Linked DNA regions of Diceros bicornis minor. The protein of the gene in region 2 interacts with the protein of the main gene of each other region in a biochemical or structural test. Links are inferred from orthologs where the notes say so. Each region holds a gene or a part of one and is shown on either strand. Other genes may lie near its edges.

The links.
Region 1: the proteins of MAP3K7 (region 2) and NOD2 form a complex in vitro, tested with the Homo sapiens proteins (2 studies listed by BioGRID). The link is inferred for Diceros bicornis minor from reciprocal best matches to the Homo sapiens genes MAP3K7 and NOD2.
Region 3: the proteins of MAP3K7 (region 2) and USP29 form a complex in vitro, tested with the Homo sapiens proteins (2 studies listed by BioGRID). The link is inferred for Diceros bicornis minor from reciprocal best matches to the Homo sapiens genes MAP3K7 and USP29.

The regions. Positions count from the first base shown.
Region 1 is NC_080771.1:4,259,400-4,267,295, forward strand, and holds the start of NOD2 (nucleotide-binding oligomerization domain-containing protein 2), read left to right. Parts: upstream 1-4,120; 5' UTR 4,121-4,170; intron 4,171-7,896. UniProt on the Homo sapiens protein: Pattern recognition receptor (PRR) that detects bacterial peptidoglycan fragments and other danger signals and plays an important role in gastrointestinal immunity.
Region 2 is NC_080762.1:42,348,680-42,357,605, forward strand, and holds the start of MAP3K7 (mitogen-activated protein kinase kinase kinase 7), read left to right. Parts: upstream 1-5,712; 5' UTR 5,713-5,892; coding exon 5,893-6,012; intron 6,013-8,926. UniProt on the Homo sapiens protein: Serine/threonine kinase which acts as an essential component of the MAP kinase signal transduction pathway. Plays an important role in the cascades of cellular responses evoked by changes in the environment.
Region 3 is NC_080773.1:35,252,489-35,260,284, forward strand, and holds USP29 (ubiquitin carboxyl-terminal hydrolase 29), read left to right. Parts: upstream 1-4,020; coding exon 4,021-6,810; 3' UTR 6,811-6,852; downstream 6,853-7,796.

The DNA of each region.
Region 1 (7,896 bases), on a different chromosome or scaffold from region 2:
CTCTTAACTCACTGAAAAGTTTTATAAAATTATTATTATACAAGTAACATATACTTATTAGGAAATACAGGTTAGCAAAAAAGAGTTTTAAAAATCCTCTTACGGTTGTAAGTAAATTTTGAAGGATAGTCTTTTAGGTTTTTCAATGCACATATTCATAGAATTTTATTACAGACTAGGGGCATACTACACAAAACATTTTTGAAACCCACTTGTTTTCTATTGAGATATAATTCACATAGCATAAAATTCATCCTTTTAAGGTATATAATTCAGTGGTTTTTAATATATTCACAAGGTTGTGTAGCCATCATCATGATCTAATTCCAGAACATTTTCATCATGCCAAAAAGAAACCTGGTTCCCATTCAGTCACTCCCCATTCCTTCTTCCTTCCAGGCCCTGGCAACCACGACTCTCCTTTCTGTCTCTACAGGTTTGCCTAGTCTGGACATTTCATATAAATGGATTCATACAATACGTGGCATTTTGTGTCTGGCTTCTTTCACTTAGCATAATGTTTTCAAGGTCTGTCTATGTTGTAGCAGGTTTCAATACCTCATTCCTTTTTATGGCTGAATAATATTCCATTGTATGGATATACCACATTTTATTTTTCCAATCATTGGTTGATGGGCATTTGGGTTGTTTCTACATTTTGGCTATCGTGAATAACACTGCTATGAACATATGTGTACAAGTTTTTGTGTGCACATGTGTTTTCCATTCTCTTGAGTACACACCCTGGAGTGGAGTTGCTGGGTCATATGGTAACTCTCTGTTTAACTTTTTGAAGAACCGCCAAACTATTTTCCACATCAGCAGCACCATTTACGTCCCTACCAGCAATGTGTGAGGGTTTCAACTTCTCCACATTCTTGCCAACACTTGTTGTTTTCTATCTTTTTGATTATAGCCACCTCTGTGGGTGTGAAGTGGTATCTCATTGTGGTTTTGATTTGTATTTCCCTAATGACTAATGATGTTGAGCATCTTTTCATGTGTTTATTGGCCACATCTCCCTTGGAGTAATGTCCACTCCAATCCTTTACTCATTTAAAAAATTGCATTAGTCTTTTCATTGTTGAGTTTTAGGAGTCCTTTGTATATTCTGAACATGATTTGCAAATATTTTCTCCCATTCTCTTGGTTGTCTTTTCACTTTCTTGATAGTGTTCTTTGAAGCACAAAAGTTCGTGATTTTAATCAAGTCCAATTTATTTTTCTTTGGTTGCTTGTGCTTAGGTGTCATCTGAGAAATCACTGCCCCAGCCAAGGTCAGGAAGAGTCACACCTAGACTGACTTCCAGGACTTTTATATTTCAGCTCTTACATTGAGGTCTTTGATCCATTTTGAATTAGTTTTTGTATATAGTATGAGGTGGGGGGTCCAAATTCGTTCTTTTGCATGAGGCTATCCAATTTTCCCAGCACCATTTGTTGAAAACACTACTCTTTCCCCATGAGTTGTCTTGGCATTCTTCTTGAAAAGCAACTTACCTTATGAATTTAGCCTTATACTATGGACGTTTCTGTATGCTAATAAACATGCCTCTATAGCATCTTTTCAAAATAAGTTTCTAGGGGCCGGGCCGGTGGCGCAGTGGTTAAGTGCGCATGCTCCGCTTTGGCGGCCCGAGGTTTCCGCAGGTTCGGATCCCGGCTGCGTGCGCACCAACGCACCGCTTGTCAAGCCATGCTGTGGCAGCGTCCCATATAAAGTGGAGGAAGATGGGCACGGATGTTAGCCCAGGGCCAGTCTTCCTCAGCAAGAAGAGGAGGATTGGCATTGGTTGGATGTTAGCTCAGAGCTGATCTTCCTCACACACGCAAAAATAAATAAATAAAATAAATAAATTTCTATTAAAATATAACAAGCATAAAGGAAAATGCAAATATCATAAGTGTTTAGCTTGATCAGTTTTCACAAAGTATTTGCACCCATGTGGCCACCACTCAGATAAAAAAAAACGTAGAATACTACTAGCACCCCAGAAATCCCCTTTGTCCCCCTCCTGGTCACTACCTCCAACCTCCTCCCCAGTGGTAACCTCTATCCTGGCTCCAATCCCTGTAATTTAGTTTTTCCTGCTTTTGAACTTTATATAAATGACATCGGACAGTATTATGCTTTTGCATCTGGATTCTTTCACTCAACGTGATGTTTGTGAGGCTGCAATAGTTCATTCACTTTCATTGGTTATTAGAATTACAGCATCATTTGTGGTACATTCACATAACAAATATTTATTGCATGCCAGTCCCCATGCTAGGCCCTGGGATGAGGCAGGGAACAAGATAGTAAGGTTCCTGTTCCTCAGAGCTCATGTTCTTTTGTGTGAGAGACTGACACCAAAGACGATAAATACTTAAATATATAGGATGTTGTGTACAGATAAGTGCAATAGAGAAAAATACAAAATAAAGCAGGCAAAGGGATGTGGGGGGAGTGGCTGCAATTGTACACAGGATGGTCAGGGAAGGCCTCGCCGAGAAAGTCACACTGAAGCAAAGGCCTGAGAGAGGAGAAGGAGGGAGCCATGTAGATTTCTAGAGGAAGGGCATTCCAGGCAGAGGGAGGAGCAAATGCAAAGGCCCAGAGGTGGCAGCAGGCTTGGCATTTTCCAGAAACAGCCAGGAGACCAGTGGCTGGAGCAGAATGAATGAGTGGAGAATGAGGAGGGGTTCAGAGAGGGCACTGGGCACAAACAGCAATTGTAAGGATTTCTTTGACTTTTACTCTGAGATGGGACTCACTGGAGGGGTTTCAGCAGAGGAATGACATAATTTGACGTTTTTTACAGGCTCACTGTGGCTGCTGTGTTGAAGAGAGACTGTAGCTGGAATCATGGAGAGTGGCTAGGAGCTCTTGCCGTAACCCAGGTGAGACGCATGGTGATTTGGACCCAGGCGATAATGGTAGATGTAGTAAGAAATAGCTGCCTTCTGGATATATTTTGAAGGTCAAGCTGGAAAATTTGGTCCCAGGTTGGATTGGGGTATGAGAGAAGATGAGTCAGTTAAGTTTTCCAGGCTCAGTTGCCCTGTCAGTTTCTTAAGTAATCTCCTATTATTGGGCAATCAGGAGGCTTCCAGCTTTTCGCCGTTACAGAGAAGATGGTGGTGAACATCCTCATAGACAGAGCTGTACACCATCCAGGATTTCCCTGGGGTAGTGTCCATCCTTGGAACGCAGCATTCAACCTTCAACCTCAGCCGACTGTGCACCCCCCTGCAGGTATTTATCTGGAGGCAGTGTGGGGTAGTGGTTAGAGCACAACCTTTGGAGCCAGGCGCCTGGGGGCAAATCTTGGCTCTGCTGTCACTACTTGGGCAGGCGAACACACTTGTCCGTGTCTCAGTTTGTTTCTTTATAAACTGAGGATAATGATAGTCACTACCCTGCAGATAGGATTAACTGAGTTAAGGTGTGTACAGCCTGGCACATAGTAAGCTCTTTGTTAATGTCAGGATTTTCCTTTAAATTGAATTCCATTTAAAATTTTCCAAATACAAGTGTTTTAAAAGGAACGTTTATATTAATACCTTCGATAGAAAACCAGTGTGGCGTGCTCGGAAGAATAGGAAATCATAAAATAAAATAGACTTAATTTAATGGAAAGGAAACAGTGCTGTCCAGTTCTGGTTAGATATTGCCGCGGGGAGGACCGGCAGTGTGAGAGACGCTGTGAGCGCTGAACCGAGACGCTGCTCCTGAACTCCAACGGAAGGGTGCCAAGGACAAGGAAGAAAGAGGAACTGTGATGCCCTCGCCCACCACGTAACCCAGCCCGCTCCAGAGGCGGCGGCTCTGGGACTCCACAACGTCAAGGCTTGAGATGCCCGAGGACTTCCCGACTTGTCCTGAGGGCCTCTCGGGTTGAGAGGGGCGCACCTGGCGGGTCACAGCACAGCCGCCCCGCCCCGCGGGCGCCCGGCCCCCTCCCGCCGCTCTCCGCCGGCGCTCGGAGCGCTCGGGGCGGCCGGGGGCGGCGCCGGGGGCGGGGCGCGGGGACCGCAGGGGCGTGGCCGGCCGCGCAGGGGTGGGGTGGGCGGCAGCGGGGGCGGGTGCCCGGGGACAGGGCCGGCCCGCGGCGGGGGCACGGCGGGCGGACCGAGAGCCCGCGCAGCCCGGGCCGGAGCGGAGCGGGGCCCGGAGTGGCGGCCGCGGTGAGTGCCCCTGAGCCGGCGCGGGGACGGCGGGGACACGGCGGGCGCCCAGGCTCCCGCCCCGGGACTCGGACAGCTGGCCTCGGAGCCGGCCCGGCCGCCAGGCTTAGGGAGGGGCTGCCTCGGTTTCCCCTTGGGGGAGTCCCGGGGACTAGATGGAAGGTAGAAGGAAAGGGGGCGTCTCGAGGATGGGGAGCCCCCTGGCGGGCCGTGGCTACAGAGGATCAGGGGGCTTGGGGATGTGGGCGGAGCTTCCAGACCCCAGGAGCCTTTGAGGTCTGGGGAGAGCTGTGATTTGGGGATGAGGGGCTGTGGAGGGAGAGCCTGCTTGATGAGAAGTCCTGAGCTCCGGGCTGGCCTGGGAATGAGGAGGCCAGGCTTCAGGTCTCAGCAGAGGCTACTCTCTGTCGAGTCCCTTCCTCTCTCCCGGCCTCAGTTTCCCCATGTCTGTGAATGGGTGGGTGTAAGCGAGAGAGTGCCTCAGGGGAGTCACCCCATGGGAGTCTCCTCCCCCTCCTTGGTGTGTGTGGAGACCCTGCTCATTCCCCATGCCGGCCCAGACAGGCCCTCACCAGGGGCGGCCCAGCATCGGATTCTCTGTGTCTTTTGCCCTCTCCTTTGCCCCTCATGTTGGGGAGCAGCCGTCTGGTCTGCTTGCTTTCCAACAAATGAAAAAGCCCCCAAATCTCCCTGAGGAGAGCCTCCCCCAGCTGACCCCTGGCTCTGGGTCTGTTCTCGCTTCTTCCCCTCTTTCTGAGCCCTTAGCTTCTCCCTGCCAATGGCCTTGGTCTCCCCATGGGCTGTTCCCGGCCATAGGATCCTCGTCCCATAGAGGGGACAAGCCTGCCGTGTCACCTGTCCCCTGACGCTGTGGTGAAGAAGACCAGAGTGACATCCCTGTTGCCTCTGTTCTCCTGTCCCAATTGCTCCGCCCCTAAGTTTGTTGGTTACTCAGATCTTTGCCAATTTGCACCCTGGGATCTGAGGCTGGAAGGGACCCCAGCCAGCCCACCTCCCCCCAACCCGGTGCAGGATCCCTTTGCTGCATTTGCTCAGGGACTGCGAGCTCGTTCCTTATGAGGTGGCTGTTCAGCGTCCCGCAGCTCTCGTCTCACTTAGCTGAAATCTGTGCCTTGCTGATTCCACCCCTTGGCTCCACTGCTGCCTTCTGGAACCTGCGGTTAATTCATTCTTTTATTCTTTCACACAATCTTTGTCGGTGAGACACTGGGGATATCGCAATGAAAAAATCAGACCCAGCTCCCTGCCCTCACGGAGTTCTTATTCTAGAAAAGAGTGGGACAGCAGGCAAATAAGTAAATACATGGTATGTCAGGTGGGGGGAAGTACCATGGAGAAAAATAAAGCAGGCGGGGAGATGAGGTGTTGGGGTGGGTATTGCAATTTTCTATTGCCTAGTCAGGGATGGGCTCCCTGAGGTGGTGACCACTGAGCAAAGCCTTGAAGGAGGGAGGGGTGAGCTCTGGGGGGGAAGGGACAGTGCAGAGGGAAGAGCTCTGCAGAGGAAACAGCACCTGCAGAGGCGCCCCGGCAGGAGCATGCCCTGCAGGAGCAGGTCTGGCTGTTCCAGGAACAAGGAGGAGTCCAGTGTGGCTGGAGCAGGGTGGTGAGGAGCCAGTGGGGCATTAGTAGTAAATGAGTGCAGAGAGGTAAGAGGGGAACTGGGGGTCCAGTGCCTGGGGCCTTGAAGGTCACGGCGAGGGCTGTGGTTTTCACTCTGAGTGCAAGGGCAGCCGCTGGAGGGCGTTGAGCAGAGAAGTCACCTGCTCTGACTTAGGGGTCAGCAGGTGCATCTGGCTGTGGCGGGAGAAGAGACTGTAGGGTGTGAGGGCAGAAAGGGGGGACCGGTGAGGGGCCCACTGTTGTCATTCTGGGAGAGACCATGGGGGCTTGTACCCATGGCGTAGAGGTGGCGACATAATCTCGGTTTCAGATTTGGGATATATTTTGAAGGTAGGGTGGATAGGATTTGGGGTGCGAGAGAAAGGTGGAGTCGAGGATGACTTGGAGTTTCTGGGGCCCGAGCATCCAGAAGTTTGGAGCTGCCATTGACTGAAATGGGAGCTGTTTAGGGGAAGATACGGAGTTTGGTTTTGTGCTTGTTAAGTTTGAGATGCCCATTAGGCATCCATGTGAAGATATCCAGTAGGCAGCTGGGAAAAGTTTAGTGGAGAGGGTGGAGCAGGAAACAAATTTTGGGCGTCCTCACCATTTAGCTGGCATTTAAAGCTGGAAGAGCAGGTGGGCTCGCTTAGAGATGGAGTGATAGGGAAAAAAGAGGTCAAACCAGGGGATTCCGGTGCTCCCAGCGTTAGGGACCAGCCAAGGAGACAGAAAGGGCAGCCGGTGAGAGGGGAGGTAAAATCAGAGGGCTGGGGTGTCCTGGACGGCAACACAGAAAGTGCTCCAAGGAGGAGGGAGGGAGCGATTATGACAGCCGCCTTTGACAGAGCAAGCAAAATGAGGGCTGAGAGCGGAGCAACGTGGAGGTCACTGGTGACCACGCTGAAAGCAGTCTGGGGGGCGCGGGGGACCGTCATTGGAGGGGATGGGGGAGGACTTGAGGACAGCAGTACAGACAACAGACAAGGAGTCCTGCTGTGAAGGGGGGCAGAGAAATGAGGTTGGACTTGAAAGGGGAAGTGGGGGTAGAAAGAGGGCTTTACTTTTAGAATGGAGAAATTACAGTCTGGTTGTGTGCTGGTGGGAAATGCTTTCCTAGAGACAAGTTCGGTGAAGGGGGCGAGAATGGAAGATGGCTGCAGGAGGGCAGGGGGATGGATCCTGTGCCCCAGGGAGGCTTGGCCCCAGCTGAAAGCCAGGACAGTTCAACAGCTGGCCTTCCCTGGGCCTCCCTCCCTCTCCTGTCTGCAGGGGCCCAGTGGACTGAGATTTCAGCACTTAAACACATTAACTGGCTCGGGGCCCCAGAGAAACCAGGCTGGCTGTGGTCTCAGGAAGGAAGAAGGTGTCAGGACTTGGGGATAAGGGAGGACCCACGTGTGTTGCCCCTTCTGCTTGATCCTCTTTCAGCAAGGAAGTGCCCCTCCGTTGCATGGGTGGGCTTCACTTTCCTGGAGGAGAGACTGTAATGACTCCAAAGGTGTGGTCACTGAAGTGGAGAAGAAAAGGCACTGCGATAGGCTGATGTATTTAGTCTGAAGGGGGGAAGTCTGAGCAGGTGATCAAGGGGCAAGAGGCAGGATTTTAGGGACAGTTTTTATGAAATAGGTGATGAGTGGACATGTATTTTCTTTCTCCCAGTTTGAATTGAAGCAGGAGAAACTTAAGCTAGATATAAGGAGGAGCTTCCTGAGCTGGTTAGTGAGGACAGTAAGAAGGCCAGATCCTCCCCCCTCAGTGTTTAAGATGGGAGAGGACAATGCCTGTTCAGAGACAGGGGGCTGGCCAAATTGGTCCTTGGGGATTCTCCCTGCTCTGAGGTTTCTGGAAGAAAGCCAGGGCAGAAGATGGAACTTTCCAGCTGCTAGGGGGAGGACAGAGTGCCGAACCTTATGGCTTGGCCTGCCTCTCCCTCCTGGTGTCCACAGAGCCCTGATGTCACTGGCTTGGGTGTGTGTGGCTTGAGCGTCCATCGGGCTGCCCCAGACTTGGTGTGTTCAGGAAGGGCCCTGCTTACTCACAGCTTGTCCCTCTGTTGGTGAGCACTTCTGTGGGCGTGTCTCAGGTCCCAGCGGGGTCTCT
Region 2 (8,926 bases):
AAAGCTAGCCTTCAGCTCCTGACCTAGCCCCCTCTCCTCCTATTTTGGACTCAATTCTACTCTGCAAGGAACCTTATACACCCACATATGGACACCCCAACCTACCCATCTGATCCCATTCACACCCTTTCCCTACAAAGAGATACCCTTGACTAGCCCTCTGGAGGCAAGATCCAAATCCAATGGACACTGTTTAGTTTCTCTCCTGTTTAACTTCTTGGAAGTATAACACTGTAACACCATTTGTCTTGGTTTCCACATCATAATTTTAGTTTTCCACAAATTTCTTTGGCAATTCCCCCACCTCCACCCATGCCTTAAAGATTTTATTCCTTAAGGCTGTGTTTTAAGTCTATTCTTTCTCACTTTACACATCTTCCCTAGGTGATCTCATCCATTTCCATGACTCAAATTATCATCAGTAGGCCAGTATCTGTTTCTCTAGCTCCATGTTTTTCCCTAAGACTAACTGCTTACTGCATAATTATACTTGGAAATCTCTCAGGTACTTCTAGCTCAACGTGTCTAAAACTGATTTCCTTATTTTCTTCTCCCCCAACCTCGTTCCAGTCTTCCCTGCTTCTGTAAAGAGCATCCTTCTATCTGAGTTGCACAAGTGAGAAATCTGGGAATCATCCTTTACATTGCCCTTTCCTTTACCTCCTTCTTCCACAACCAGTCAATCACTAATCCTACCAACTCCATTTCTCAGTATCTCTCAAGCATATCCATTTATCTATACTCCTTATGCCACTATCCATACTGTTCAAACCACTATTATTTCTTGCCTTGACTACTGCAACATCCTCCTAACTTCGCACTTCTCAAACTTTTTCATGGCATGACACAGGTAGAAAATGATAATATTGTAAGATACTCCGGGATGAACTGGAAAGGATTTGGAGGTATCTATTTGGGGCTTTATTTTAAAAATTATTGCTTTTCTCATGCTATGTAATTTTGAAAAATAAATAAATACAAAGTATTAGAGACAATGTTAAACACTGAATTTGTATAAATATCAAATATAGTTTTCAAAATATTAATAAGAATTTTTAATAAACTTTCCTTTATAAATAAATTTTTAATATAAGATTTTATACTTGAAACACCTACTATCAATTCCTGATCAAGACTTTTTAAGGTGGATCTCTTCAAATTCTTACAGTAATCATCAAAAAGAAACTTTGTTCACACAAGGAAACCAAAAAAATGCTTAAATACTTTTACAATCATTTTAAAATTTACAACAGTTGAAATCATATTTAAAGACTCTAACAGCTCTTCTTCTTCTTTAAATGGCCAATGTAATGTTCAAATTTCTTGTGATATTATGAATGGATTTTGAAACCAGTTCAACTTTTTCATATCAAGTATTTCAAAATCAATGATGGAGATTTTATCTGCAGGACACATGGCACCACCAAAGCAGTTACCCTGCAGCTAGCTTGGTTGAGGCGGAAAAAAAGAACATTAGCTGCAAACAGAAGTTTCAGCTATATGCAATGTCAGAGAATGCCCTGAAGCTGCACCTGCCAGAAGCCTCTACTCCACTTTCGCAGGCCTACTCTTACTAGCCACATTGTTGGTACCTGGAACACAAATCCTTCCAGCAGCTCCATGGGCTGCAAAAGACCTAAGATGAAGATGTGGGGAGTAGAAAATTTGGAATGAACTCAAATATCAAAGAAATGCAGGAATTTGGGGAGCTGCTCTCCAGCAGTGTCACTGAATTGCTAAGGGGTTGGCTATCCTCTGTGTACTGCAGTTTTGAATATAGTACAGCAGAAAACTATTTCTGAACTTCCTGGAAAGAATAATATTTGATTGAGTTGGGCTAGTTTGGTTCTGGGACAAGCAGTAAAGACAGCACTTTCTAGGTATAGAGCTCAACCTGAATAGACATATGAATAATGAACATTTGTTGACTGTATACCCAGCAACCATTCCCTGCTTTGCCCTTCCTAAGAGTCTTCAGATTTTTCTTGTAGTTAGCAGCTCCTCCTTCTCAAAGTCCATGTTTTCTCAGTCCTGGATCTAAACTAAACAAGATATTTGCAACCTCAACTCTCCTGTTCCCCATTCCTCACTCAAGGGTACAGTTGTCAAGGGCTTTTGAAAAAGAAAGTTCTTTGCTCTTCTGAGATAGCTACCAAAAGATGCTCTCTGTTATTGTACTGGACAGTGTGACATGTCATATGAAAAATGAAACTGCTGGAACGTGCGTTCTCAATGGGGATGATATCACCTCCAAGGCGGTGAAAATTAAGGAGAGAAAAAAACAACACTTTTTATGTATAAAGCATAAATATGCATACAGTACATAAACAGATACACAGTATATCCGTGGTATTAAAACTTTGGGAAGGCATTTAAAACAACCTTAAAAGGCTCCTGGAGCCGGGGGGCAATAATGAAAACAAAAGTTGAGAAACACTGTTCTAGAGCAATGGCACATACCACAAAAGGCAGAAGACAATGGAAACTCAATTTTTGATGCTAACATTAAGTTTATGAATCAAGACACCTGAAGCCTCTTCTACCTCTTGACTTTCCACTTAACTAAGCCAATAAATCCCCTTTATTGTTTCAAGTATTATGTGTTGAGTTTCCTGTTACTTATAACAAAAGTGATACTGACTGATAAAATAGGAAACACTTTATCTAAAGTTAATCTAAATGTATTACACACGCCAATGCAACAGAACTTTAAAGTGGAACTATTTTAATCTGTTTCTGCTAAGTCTCCATGAAAACAGGTGCCAGGTGTCCTTATATCCAAAATGAGGCAAATAGGATGAGAATCCCATTTAGAACATTCAGAGATGTTGGGAAATGGATTTTGAAACTCTTGGCCCTCATCCCCTGGATAGTATAAAAGTGTTAAAATTGAAGACAGAGTTGAAGGTTAGAGTAGTTATTAGGACATTAACATGAGGGTGGGTGGTGGAGAGTGATCAAACTGGGAGGGACTTAAAGACCACTTAAATAGCTTGATATGTATCTCTGGAAATTTGTAGAGACACAATAGACTGGTGACTGAAGTTGACATGAAATTGTGACGTCCAAGCTTCCATCCTTAACTCATGAAAGCTGAAGAAGTTAAAGGGGATGCAAAGTCAAAACTGGGGTGAACTAAAATGGGTTCAGCTCCCTTCCCTCATTTCTCTGGATTCAAACTGTATTACTTAGGATTGTTTGATTGCAAGTGACAAAAATACAACTCGAATCAGCTTAAACGAAAAAATGGGAATTTACCAGCTCACATAATCAATCACAGAATGGAAGAGGTAGACTGCATTTGGGGGATGACTGGATTCACAGACATGAACATTGCTGGGATTTTATTATCAGAAGCTAGTGAAAAGGCACCATGCAGACCAAAAAAAGGGTGGTCTGCAAGCAAATAGGACAAGAATTGATTTTAAACTAGTATCAATATCAGAAGTCGAAATCAGTGGATAAAACACAAAAGTAGAAGTATTGGGGTAGACGGTCAAAATCATGCAGGAAATCCACTTTGAAATGCATTCAATCAAAAAAGATAAATGTATGTTTGTATGGGTGGATGGACAGATGGACAGGTATATGATAAAGCAAGTATACTAGAATGTTAATGGTAGAATATTCTTGCTAAGTACATAGGTGTTCACTGTAAAATTCTTTCAACTTTTGTATGTTTGATACTTTTCATAAAATGTTGTGGGAACACCAAGCAGGAGAACAACATCAGGGCTGTAGTGATTAGTCCCTTCTCAGCAGGATTCTAGTCCTAAACTGAAGGTATACAAAACAGATCTTGCACTCCAGGGAAACGAAGGACTGACAAAAGCTATTCATTCATCCAGAATATATAACAAATATTTCTTGAGTTCCCACTTGATAGCATCCACTGTATTAACATCAAGGTGGTAAAGAGAAATCAGATATGACGCACAGAGTGATAGCACAAGGTTAAGAGGTGACCATCCTAGTTTGGGAATTCAAGTAGAGAAATGACAGATAAAAATGGTTATCCCATTGACTTAATCTGGTTCTATTTGGTTATCAGTGCCCTAACCATCGTTTTACATGCAGAAATAAAGCCCTGATTTCCCACTTGGACAACTGAGTAGATGATGGGATCCTTCACGAAGACAGAAAATGCGCACGGAAGAATGTATTTGTGGTGGGTGGTAACTTCAATTTTTTTTTGGAATCTTCAAGTTTTGGTGTTTATGTTATATCTAAATAGAGATGTCCAATAAGTCCAGAATTCATGAAAAATTTGAGTAATGGGAGAGATTGGGAGTTATCATCATATAAGCAGTATAGGTGGTCAAGATCTTGGGTAAGATCATCCAGAGAGTGTACAGTGAAAAGAAATTATTCTTTCTTTCATTCTTTTATCCATTCACCAAACTATCATTGAGTGTTACTAGAACCATGAATGAAGAAAGACAATGTATTCCAGGAGTTCATAACCTCTTGATCGCCAAGTCAAATGACCTATTTGCTAACCCAAATGTGTTTAACTTACTTCTGTACAGCATTTATTTGGTTGGCTGCTCTTTAACAAGAAAGCTCTCCTCCAGTGATATTTGGATCATCATTCCCCTGACTATCTCCCTATCTGTTCCTTTTTGGTCTCTTACTGAGATTCAGATTTTGATATTCACAGGCTTTCACCTTGGGTCCTTAAACCTTCATTTCGAACTCCAATTTTCCCAGTTAGTCTTTAGGTCAAACCGACTAAATAAAAACTAACATTTAGTTTAAAACTAAAAACTGTGTTGATAGCACAACACAGGCAATACTATCCGGAGATATACTGACAGGTTCTACCAGCTTGTGAGAATCATAATTGTTTTAACCTCTCTGAGCCTAATTTCTCATGTCCTGAAAATGGAAAAAATATATATTATTTTGCAAGGCCTTTGTTAATGATTAAGTTATAAATGCACAGCATCTAGCACAGTGCTCTGCACTCGATACGTACTGTTAATATAACCCATAACTTCAGATGAACACAAATTATGCCAAATTACAAATATCTCCCTTACCTAATATTAACTTCTATTCGTGAGTACTCAGCCTTCGTAGTGTTATTCAGGTTACATGCAGTGGCTCGCTCTGTATTATTTGCTTTAGAATCTGATAGCGTCAAAGTAACAATAGCAACCTGGCTCAAAGTAACAGTAGCAACCGCTTCCTTCCATATACCACATTGAGGGAAACACATTTTCCAAGGCTTCTTAAAGAAACAGTTCTGCTTAGCTTACTTTTAGCTTAGCTGAAAACTAAGCTTCGTCACAAAAACTCAGTCCAACACCACCCCGTCCGTCTGCAGGTCTCTGAGAGAAGAGGAAGCGGGGCCTTAACGTAGTTCACGAAGCAAAGTTAAAAACGTAGCTTTTATCTTTCCCGCGGGTTGCTAAAGGACCAACCGCACCAATATCCCGTCGTCCTCCGCGCCACTTCCGTTCGCGCATTTTAATTACGACACTTCGTCAGCTCTCGCGGTATCATCCGGTTGCTGAGGCCCTTTAACAAAGATCTCGCGAAATTTGTTCTACAGGCCCAAGATAGCCTCTCACCCTCCCCTACCACACCCCCAACCTGTCCTTCCTTTCTCTGGCTCAATCACAAAATTCTCCCCTCCCCTCCCTTGAGCTCACGGCCCTCCTCCTGTTTCCGATTTCAGGCCGGAACCGGAAGTCTAGTGGGCGGGGCCCGGCGGCGGAAAACGCAGCGGAGCCGGAGCCGGGACTCGGCTGTGGCCGCTGCTTCTGTCCCCGCCGCGGATCGCCGTGGCTCCAGGCTGAAGGTCGGTCCGGAGGCGGGTGGGCGCGGGTCTCCCCCGGAGTGTCCGGGCGGCAGCCTCCCCGGGCCCCCCGGGCTCCACAAGGGATCATGTCTACAGCCTCCGCCGCTTCCTCCTCCTCCTCGTCTTCGGCCGGTGAGATGATCGAAGCACCCACCCAAGTCCTCAACTTTGAAGAGATCGACTACAAGGAGATCGAGGTGGAAGAGGTGAGCGAGGCCTGGCACGGGGCTCCGGCCCCGGCCTGTCCCCGCCTCTGCCTGGTCCCGACTCTTAAGGCGCCTCCCCGGCCCCTCTGATCCTCTGGGCCCCGCAGGGTCCACCCCGGAGTCCCCACAGAGACCGGGTATAGAGGGAACTCTCCGCGTTCAGCTGCTCCCCGATAGCTCTCTTTTTTCCTCACTTCGGCACTCTTGAGTTTGGATTTGATATTCTGGTGCCTGGATTTGGGTCATCTCAAACAGGAGGATGGACTGGTGAGGTAGTGTGGTCCACCAGTTCCCATGTCTCTAAGTAGTAAATTCGTCAAAGACCGTGGCCGTTTTGGAGTTTCAGCTCACTACGACGTGGTGTTCTTAAGGACCAAGGATTGTATTCTCTTCGACTCCTAGCTCGGTGCCTAGAACGTAGTGGATGCTCAATAAGTGTTTGGTAAATTAGCACATCACCATGTCTAGTAAAGTGTTTCCCCGGGTACCGAACGGTTCTGTTTCGCTGTTTCCATAGAGCAGTAGCTGTAATATTAAATGTTCTGCCATCAATTGGACTAATTTAGATGAATTTCACCATTAATAATGTAGACTGGTCTAGAAGGAAAGATGTCTCGAGTAGCATGTTCTGAAGAGCCAACTAATGATTTCGGTGACAACCAGAACATAACAGACAGAAATCGCTGTTAGAAAATCCGAATCCATCCTTAAGTTATTTTAGAGCAAAGTAATATGTGCCTTTAATACGTCCCTTCTTTTCAGATTCACAGAGAAGTAGACTGTTTCTAAGAACCATAAAATTTAGAAAAGTAAAAACTATATGTTTTAAAGATACACTTCAGAAAGTGTTAAAACTTTGGTTGAAAATAGTATCTATCAGTTACCATTTATTTATCATTTTTAAAATATATTAAGCACTTTACATAACGTATGCCATAAAGAACCCTGTATGTTCTCTTTTGTAGACTCTCAAAGAGTTATCTCTACTTTAAAAGTTCAAAATTATTTTTAGGTAGTGGCAAACTAAAAGTAATGGGATAGTTATCATTCAATAAATAAATTTTTTTCTATGCGGGTTTTGGAAGAATAATGGATTACTCAGTCGTATTTTTTTATTGCATAAAGTAACCTTAGAGATCACTGAGAACAACCTCATTTTACAAGGTAGTGTAAGTGGGAAGAGTGAGGCCTTTAAAGTTAAAGGAAGGTTCAGAATATCAGCTATGCCACTTATTAGCTGTGTGATTTGGAGCAAGGTTCCTAACTAACCCCTTTGAGCCTTGGTTTCCATAACTGTAAAATAGGGATAATAATTTCTATTTCATTTTATGTGTATAATAGATCCTATTAGGCAATATGTGCAAAACACAGTGCTTGACACATATTACTAAGAAACAGTTCCAGAGAGGAACATTGACCTGCTTTAAGGTCACATGGCTAAAAGAAGGACCTGTGTTTTGAAAAGGGGGCAATTTGTGTGTGTGTGTGTGTGTGTGTGTTTTCTATTGAGGCTAAATTCTATTGAGGATAAATTCCTTTTTCAGAAGTGGATAGTTGATCCAGCTTTCGTGGCTAACATTCTTTCTTTTTTAAGAATAAAAATTCAGTGAGTCAGTATAAAAGAATTGCAGTTTTTAAATAAGCATTTACGTCTACTCTGTGGCGAACTGCTGTGCTTGTAGACTACAAATTGTTATATAATAATAACTTGTGCTTCATAGTCTACCAAATGCTTTCACAGACTTACATTATTTGAGTCTTACAAGGTTGGTTTTCCACACACTACTTTCTAAAGCGTTTACCTTCTTGCTTCTTGGAAGAATGAAAGTTACTAAGGAGACAATTATCATTTTGTTGCTCTTCCACCAAAGCCATTTAACTTCTGATTAGATTTTTATGTTTCCAAAGACCCTCTTTCAGTTTAGACAATGTTTCAACCCGTCTTTGGTATATTTAGGACATTCCTGGGGAGTAGATTTTTGGTTTTAGATGAAAATTTCTAATATTAGACAGTCATTTAGCTGTGTTTTTTTCATTTTTTAATGCCAGTTTATTTTCACTTTAAAGATTGAATTTGGATCTTTCTAATGTTGAGACTATTACATAATTTCCATCATCATTTGCATACATTAAAACAGTGTTATATGATCCAGGGTTCACCGTGGGCACTCGGTAACTATTTCTCAACTTAGAATCTGCTTCTAGGTTAAAATCATGAATAAGAGAATAGAGGAAGATGACCAGAAACAAAAAGTATTTTACAAGGTTTGCAGTATTTTGTATGGTGCAAATATATTGCCTATAAATAAAGAAAATTGTATTCTGTATTTTTCAGATAACAATGTAATTGAATCAGCGTTATATCAATTCAGTTAGAAACTATGTAAGAAAAAAACTCCAACCACAGACCAAATTTGCAGTCATTTGGTAGATGCATATTTTTTAGGCATCAGCTGATTTTAATCCTTAAATTCCTAATGTTGTGACTCAGTAATATCAGCATGACACTTCCTAAATTCAGTTCTGATATCCAGTTATGTAAGGTCTCAGCCTCAGAAACATACGTAGATTTTTTTTTTTTTAAATCATTTAGTTTTTACCATTCTGGATCAGAGTGTAGAAAATGTTAGAATAAATTGTAAGGTATGTACATTGGGGACTAGGTTGCAAGAAGTGGTAAGGGCAGTGTGGAGTGGTGAAAAGTGTACTGGGCTGGATATTTAGAAAATGTAGATGCTGTACTGATTCTGCCATAATATATTTCAGTAACTTTGAGCAAGGCACTTCAATTTTCTGGGTCTCTGATTTCTCACATAAAATGAGGGATTGAAGAAGATCATTTAAGGTCTCTTCCAGTTCTAAAATGAAAACACATTTATTGTTTGCTGTATTTATGCTCTATTTCCACAGTAAA
Region 3 (7,796 bases), on a different chromosome or scaffold from region 2:
TTTTAGCTTTGGCTTCATCGTTGAATAGAATCTGAATACGAGCTCTGAGGCAAAACCAGCAAGATCAGTTGAAATAATACCATTCTGGATAGAGAGCTAAGGGTCACGTGGGCTTCTCTTAGGTCTGTTTCCTATCTCAGCCTCTTGGGTGTTGACTCCTTCTCCCAGGAAGTAGAAGATGCTCCCACACAGGGCTCCTGGGGTCAGAGGCATCCACATGGTCCCTGGAGCTATATCTAGCCCAGCCCTGCACCTTCTGAGGATGTCAGTGCTCACTTTCATGCCACCCAGCCCAATTATCTCTTTTCAAGCTCACTCTGCTAAGGACAGGTGTGGGGGCATGGGTTTTTCCAAATGGGAGAAGGAGGGATCCAAATTAAATTGGCAATATAAAAAAGTGCTCTGATATGCACATCAGCACCTTAATATCCATGTCCTTCTATTTACTCGATCAGTTCCTTCGCTAGAAATTGTAACCACGATCTTTGGAATTTCACACTTATTTGAATATTTTCATCTACAGATTTAAATAGAACCGTTACCTTGGTGTTGCTTCCTGAGAGGGACTTGCAAAACAAATTGAGTCTTCAGTATAGCCCAGGTAAGTAACAAGCATTTGGCCTGATACAGCTCCTAACTTTGGAGTCACTGGGGGAAGAATTAACATTCACTAAGTACCTATTCTTGATGAGGCACTGTATTTGATTTTTTGTATGTGTTTTTGTCCTGTAACCCTCCAAGTAATTCCAAGAGATGGGTCTTTCTGTTGCTACCAATATGCCAATTTACATATGTAAAAAAAGTCTCACCAATTGATAACACAAACTCTGAGCAGGCACCAATTTATTCTATCCATTCCCCATGTCCCACTGCTTCCTATTCTGAATAAACCTCAGTGCCCCTTAAAGTTCTACCCATGGGGCCTCAGACGCAACTTAAATTCCCATACATTTAATCCAGTTTTCAGGCATGAGGTGCATGTACTTTTTTTCTTGTTCTTTTTTCCAGTTTTATTGAGATATAATTGACATATAACATTGTGTAAGTTTAAGGTGTACAACGTAGGGATTTTATAGATGTATAGATTGCAAAATGATTACCAAAATAAGGTTATTTAACACATCCATCACCTCATATAGTTACAATTTTTTGTGTGTGGTGAGAACTTTTAAAATCTACTATCTTTGCAACTTTCAAATATATAATACAGTATTGTTAACTGTAGCCACCATGCAGTACATTATATCCTCAGAATTTATTCATCTTATAACTGGAAGTTTGTGCCCTTTGAACAACATCTCCCCATTTCCCCCACCCCCCACCCCTGGCAACCATCAATCTGTTCTCTGTTTCTATGATTTTTCAGATTCCACATATAAGTGAAGTCATACAGTATTTGTCTTTCTATGTCTGACATTTCACTTAGTATAATCTCCTAAATATTCATTCATGTTGTCACAAATGGCAGGATTTCCTTCTTTTTATGGCTGAATAATATTGCATTGTATATTTATACCACATTTTCTTTATCCATTTGTGAGTCCATGGACATAGGTTGTTTCCAAGTCTTGGCTATTGTAAATAATGCTGCAGTGAACATAAGGGTGTAGATATCTCTTTAAGAGAGTAATGATTTCTGTTCCTTTGGTTATATACCCAGAAGTGGAATTGCTGGATCATATCATTATTTGTTTTTTTTGCTATTGATTTGTATGATTTCCTTATATATTTTGGATATTAACTCCTTATCAGATATGTGGTTTGCAAATATTTTCTCCCATTCCATAGGTTGCTTTTTCATTTTTTTGATTGTTTCTTTTGCTGTGCAGAAACTTTTTAGTTTGATGTAGTCCCACTTGTTGATTTTTTTTTTTTTTTTTTGGTGAGGAAGATCAGCCCTGAGCTAACATCCATGCCAATCCTCCTCTTTTTGCTGAGGAAGACTGGCCCTGAGCTAACATCCGTGCTCATCTTCCTCCACTTTATATGGGACGCCGCCACAGCATGGCCTGACAGGGTGTGCATTGGTGCGCGCCCGGGATCCGAACCTGGGCTGCCAGCAGAGGAGCGTGTGCACTTAGCCATTATGCCATGGGGCTGGCCCCTGGCCACTTGTTGATTTATGCTTTTGTTGCCTGTGCTTTAGGTGTCGTAGCCATAAAATCATTGCCAAGATGAATGTCAAGGAACTTTTTCCTCATGTTTACTTCCAGGAGTATTATGGTTTCAGGTCTTACATTTAAGTCTTAATCCATTTTGAGTTAATTTTTGTGAATGGTGTAGGATAGGGGTCCAGTTTCATTCTTTTGCATGTGAGTGTCCAGTTTTCCCAGCACTATTTTTTGGAGACTATCTTTTCTCCATTGAGTATTCTTGGCTCCCTTGTCAAATATTAATTGACCATATACACATGGGTTTATTTCTGGGTTCTCAATTCTGTTCCATTCATCTATGTGTCTGTTTTTATGCCAGTACCATGTTGTTTTGGTTATTATGGCTTTGTAATATAGTTTGAAATTGGAAGTGTGATTCCTTCAGCATTGTTCTTTCTCAGAATTATTTTAGCTATTCAGGGTCTTTGTGGTTCCATATGAATTTTAGGGTTTTTTTCTATTTCTGTAAGAAATGCCATTGGAATCTTGGTAGAGGTTGCATTGAATCTATAGATTACTTTGGGTAGTGTGGACATTTTAACAATATTAATTCTTCCAATTCATGAACACAGGATATATTTCCATTTATTTGTTTTTTCTTATGTCTTATAGTTTTCACTGTACAGATCTTTCACCTTCTTGGTTAAATTTCTTCCTATTTTATTGTTTTGGATGCTATTGTAAATGGATTGCTTTCTTTATTTCTTTTTCAGATAATTCTTCATTAGTTTATAGGAACACAACTGATTTTTGTATATTGATTTTGTATCCTGCAACTTCACTGAGTTTGTTTCTTAGTTCTAACAGTCTTTTGGTGAAGTCTTTAGAATTATCTGTATATAAGATCATGTCATCTGCAAACAGACAATTTTACTTCTTCCTTTCTGATTTGGATGCTTTTTATTTCTTTTTCTTGCCTGATTGCTCTGGCTGGGACTTCCAGCACTGTGTTGAACAGGAATGGTGAGAGGGGGCATTCTTGTCTTTTTTCTCATCTTAGAGGAAATGCTTTCAACTTTTCACCATTGAATATGATGTTGGCTGTGTGCTTGTCATATTTGGCCTTTATTCTGTCGAGATACATTCCTTCTATATCCAATTTGTTGAGAGGTTTTGTTTTGTTTTGTTTTGTGAGGAAGATCAGCCCTGAGCTAACATCCATGCTAATCCTCCTCTTTTTGCTGAGGAAGACCGGCTCTGAGCTAACATCTATTACCAATCCTCCTCCTTTTTTTTTTCCCCAAAGCCCCAGTAGATAGTTGTATGTCATAGTTGCACATCCTTCTAGTTGCTGTATGTGGGACGAGGCCTCAGCATGGCCGGACAAGCAGTGTGTCGGTGCACACCCGAGATCTGAACCCGGGCCGCCAGTAGCGGAGCGCGCGCACTTAACCGCTAAGCCACGGGGCCGGCCCTGTTGAGTGTTTTTATTATCAATGGATGTTGAATTTTGTCAACTGCTTTTTCTGCATCTATTGAGATGATCATGTGATTTTTGCCTTTCATTCTATTAATGCAATGTATCACATTTATTGATTTGCATATGTTGAACCATCCTTGCACCCCAGGGATGAATCTCACTTGATTATATATCCTCTACTTAAGCCATCCTTCATCTTCCTCCCCTCCTAACAGCTACCTTGAAAAAGCATGTGTTCTGAATTTACATCTTCTAAAGAATTGGCATAGCTTCAGAATATAAGTAGTTCCCCCAAAGTGTCTTTTACCTAAGGCATAAGGAGAAGACTAAAAGAAAATTATTATTACATAAGGTTTTCCATATTGGTTTAATCCAATAAATTTTGGATTAAAGTGTATATGTGTGCTTTTTTATTTAGGTTACATGAGTTTGATTTGTAAAGAAAGGATGGCTCCTCTAAAGATACATGGTTTTATCCAAATTTGGAGCAAGAAGACCGGGGTAACTAAATCTAGAGAAGTATCCATCAAAACAGTGGAAGGAAAAAAGGAAACTAGCCTGGTGGTCATTTTCAACTCTGGAGAATTTATAAGGGTTTTTCAGCTAAGTAATAATATTACAAGTGTGGTCCTTAGACATGATGGAGAGAGACAAAGTTGCCTGAATTTAACTTTGAAAAATAATAGCTCCTTGTTTATTGACAAATTATCCTACAGAGATGCTGAGCAGTTGAAGATGTTCCTGGACAAAGTCCATCAAAACAAATTCCAATCACCTATGAAATCTGATAATGATTGGGGTGTTTTTGACAGCAGGAATACACAGAAAGAAATTGACAAAACTCCATTTCACAAAGTTTGTGACAAGCCAAATTATGGATCATTTAATATAGAAAAAGGAAGTGAAACACCTTTCCCTCAGAAGGTGCCTTCATTAATGTTAAAATCACCAATGCTTGTCACAACAGGGCTATCAGGAAATCAAGGTGGAAAGTGGAAAAGAACGCTATCATATGGTCTAGAGATGAATGAGGGCCTCCAGGAAGAAAATAACCCCATACTAAACAAGAAACTGAAGGCAGATTCCTTTAAGTATGTAAGCAGCAATGAGAAGAAACCATTGCATTTAAAAGATTTAAGAAGGAATAGAAATTCAAAATATGAACCTCCGTGCTGGACCATCTCTCCTGAAAATCCTAGCCTAGATAAGCCTGTTCTTTCAGTCCAGCCTCTCTCTTCCAAAAGAAGTTTGGAATTTCCATCAGAACAAATATATAGTCAGAATGACCCAGGATGGAATGAACCCCAGGTGTCTCTTGGCTCTCACCCAGAACAACTATGGCAAGGCTTTCCCAATTTGGGAAACACCTGTTACATGAATGCAATTTTACAGTCCCTATTTGCGATTCCATCATTTGCGGATGACTTACTCATGCAAGGTGTCCCGTGGAAGAAAATTCCATTCCGTGCTCTGGTTATGCACTTCAGCCAGTTACTGGTATTAAAAGATGTTTGTAACATACGGACCAAGAAAGAGTTACTTGTAAATATTAAAAGTGCCATTTCAGTGGTTTCAGAGACATTCTCTGGCAACATGCAGAATGATGCTCATGAGTTTTTAGGTCACTGTTTAGATCGGCTGAAAGAGGACATGGAAAAATTAAACAGCACTTTGAGGACTGAGAGAGAACTTGGGGATGAAAATTCATCTCCGCACATGTATGCTGGTAATGCTGCCGCCAAAGTATTTGTTTGTCCTGTTGTTGCTAATTTTGAGTTTGAATTGCAGTGCTCCATTATTTGTAAAAGCTGTGGTTGGGTTGTTCTCAAGGCAGAACCAAGTAATTATCTCTCCATCAACCTTCCCCAAGAAACAAAACCACTTCCTTTCTCTATTCAAAATTCCTTTGATCTTTTCTTTAGAGCAGAAGAACTTGAGTATAACTGTAAGAGGTGCAGGCACACGAGTTCTGTTGCAATGCACAAATTCAGTAGGCTTCCCAGGGTCCTTATTGTTCATCTGAAACGATATAGCTTTAATGGTGTTTGGTTGCTAGTGAAGGATAACCATCGAGTCCATATTCCCAAGTATTTAAGCTTATCTTCTCATTGCAATGATAGCACCAAACCACCTCTTCTCTTGGGTAGAAATGCACCTACTGGGGACTCCAAAGTCCTGAAAATCTCGCAAGAGATGACTTCTGAGGTCATCAGCCCATCGACACCTTCAGTAAAGTTGATCCCAGAATCCAGTGATTCCCTGGCTTTACAAATTGGATCAGACAAGGATGCCGAACCACAAAATGATCAGAAAATCTGTGAAGAGTCAAGCCAAGAACAGCAGCAGACAGACCTGGAAAATGGTTCTAAACTGAATGTAATAGAGTCAGAACTGGTAAACTCAGGAGATAGGACAGTCAGTGAAAAGAAGCTGCCAGCAGCTGACTCGATGGATCAAGAAGATAGTTCTCTTCCTATGATCTGTGAAGGTGGAGGTAAACCTACCAGCAGCCCACACACAGGTCTTGTAGAGAGTCATCTTCAAGAGGTACCTGACAATCCAGAACTTAAGAAATATGAGAAAACCAAAGCATTTATAGAGTTAGGCTTTGACAGTGTCACTGAGACTACTGAAGATTTTTATGAGGATAAAGAAAACAGGATTCCAGAAAGACCTCAAGGAATGGCTGAACAACTCCAGCAGCATGATGGGAAGAGAATCTATGAGGAATTCCTTCAGCAGGAACCGACTCCAAGCATTGGGAAGCCGAATGCCCAGGAACACACAGAGAAGGACCTCAATATTCATCAGAAGGCTAACCTGAATTCCCTTGGTGCACTGGGTTCTGACAAGAACCCTGGAAGCAAAGAAATTTTAGATACAGAGAACACAGAAGCTGAAGCCAGGGAACTGAAAAGAAATGCCAAGATGGGAGATCCTCTTCATGCCTACCGGCTCATCAGTGTGGTCAGCCATCTCGGGCACTCCCCAAACTCAGGCCATTACATCAGCGATGTTTATGACTTTCAGAGGCAGGCCTGGTTCACATACAGTGATTTACAAGTGTCGCAAATCAAAGAGTCTGTGATGCAGAAGGCTAGGCTTTGCACTGGGTATATCTTCTTTTACATGCACAATGAGATCTTTGAGGCACTATTAGGAAAGGCAAAGAATTCCCAGGTACTTAGAACAGAGGTAGGGATGCTCCCTTACTCAGGAGGAACAAGAGGAAGATGACTCCTTGCACAAATCTCTTGACTGCCTCACCCAGTCACACTACCTCCATGGAAGGAAAATTCTGAACCCTACCCTGAGATGAAGAGACAAGTAGCTCAAGAGGAAGCTCAAATAGAAACACCTATTGTGGGGAAATATGTCTCCTAACTCTGCAGCAGACACCTTGATCCCATAGCTCATGCTGATCCGGATCATTCTCTCCTACAAGATTAGAAAGGTGCTTTTCAGGTAGTAATGGAGTTGTTTTCAAAATGTTGTTCCTACACCAGCAGCTGCAGCAGCAGCCAGGGACTGATTAGAAATGCAACGTTTTGGGTCCCACTGCAGACCAACTGAGTCAGAAACTCTGGGGGCACGATCCAGCAGTTGATGGAGAGCCAATGCTCCAGAAAACTTGAGAACCATTACTTTAGTGTGAAGAGTATCTTGGTATATTTTGATACTGTATATACAAATTGCTTATGTTATGTAAAGGATTTGAATTACATTTTTTTTGTTCCTCAAATTCATGTATGCCTTTCTTTTGTAAACTTATTAAAATAAAAACTCAGCCATTTCATGTAGTATTGACTGGCTTCCACATGTGTTTGTGACTGGGTACTGGTAAAATCTGACATCTAGCAATCAACTCTATTTGAACATTCTTCCAGGAATTGCAGGGTATAATTGCCAGATGGCATGGGAAATGCAGTATATTCAAAAATGATATGACGGTGATTTTGAAAATTCAAAAACACTTTACAATGTTGCTTATGTTATTAATATAAATAAGAATAAACCCATCTTAGTAAATGCACATAACCTGGTGGCCAAGGCTTAAACAGCCTATAAAGTTCCCAGTGTCAATAGGCCGCATGAGTGGACATGTGAAAGTTGAGAGGATCTTGTGGGTGCAAAGAGATAAGAAAAGCCTGGTGATGTATAAAATATGGGGCAAAGTTAGGCAGAGTAGATGTGGGAAAGAAGAGAGAGTGAAGAGAAAAACA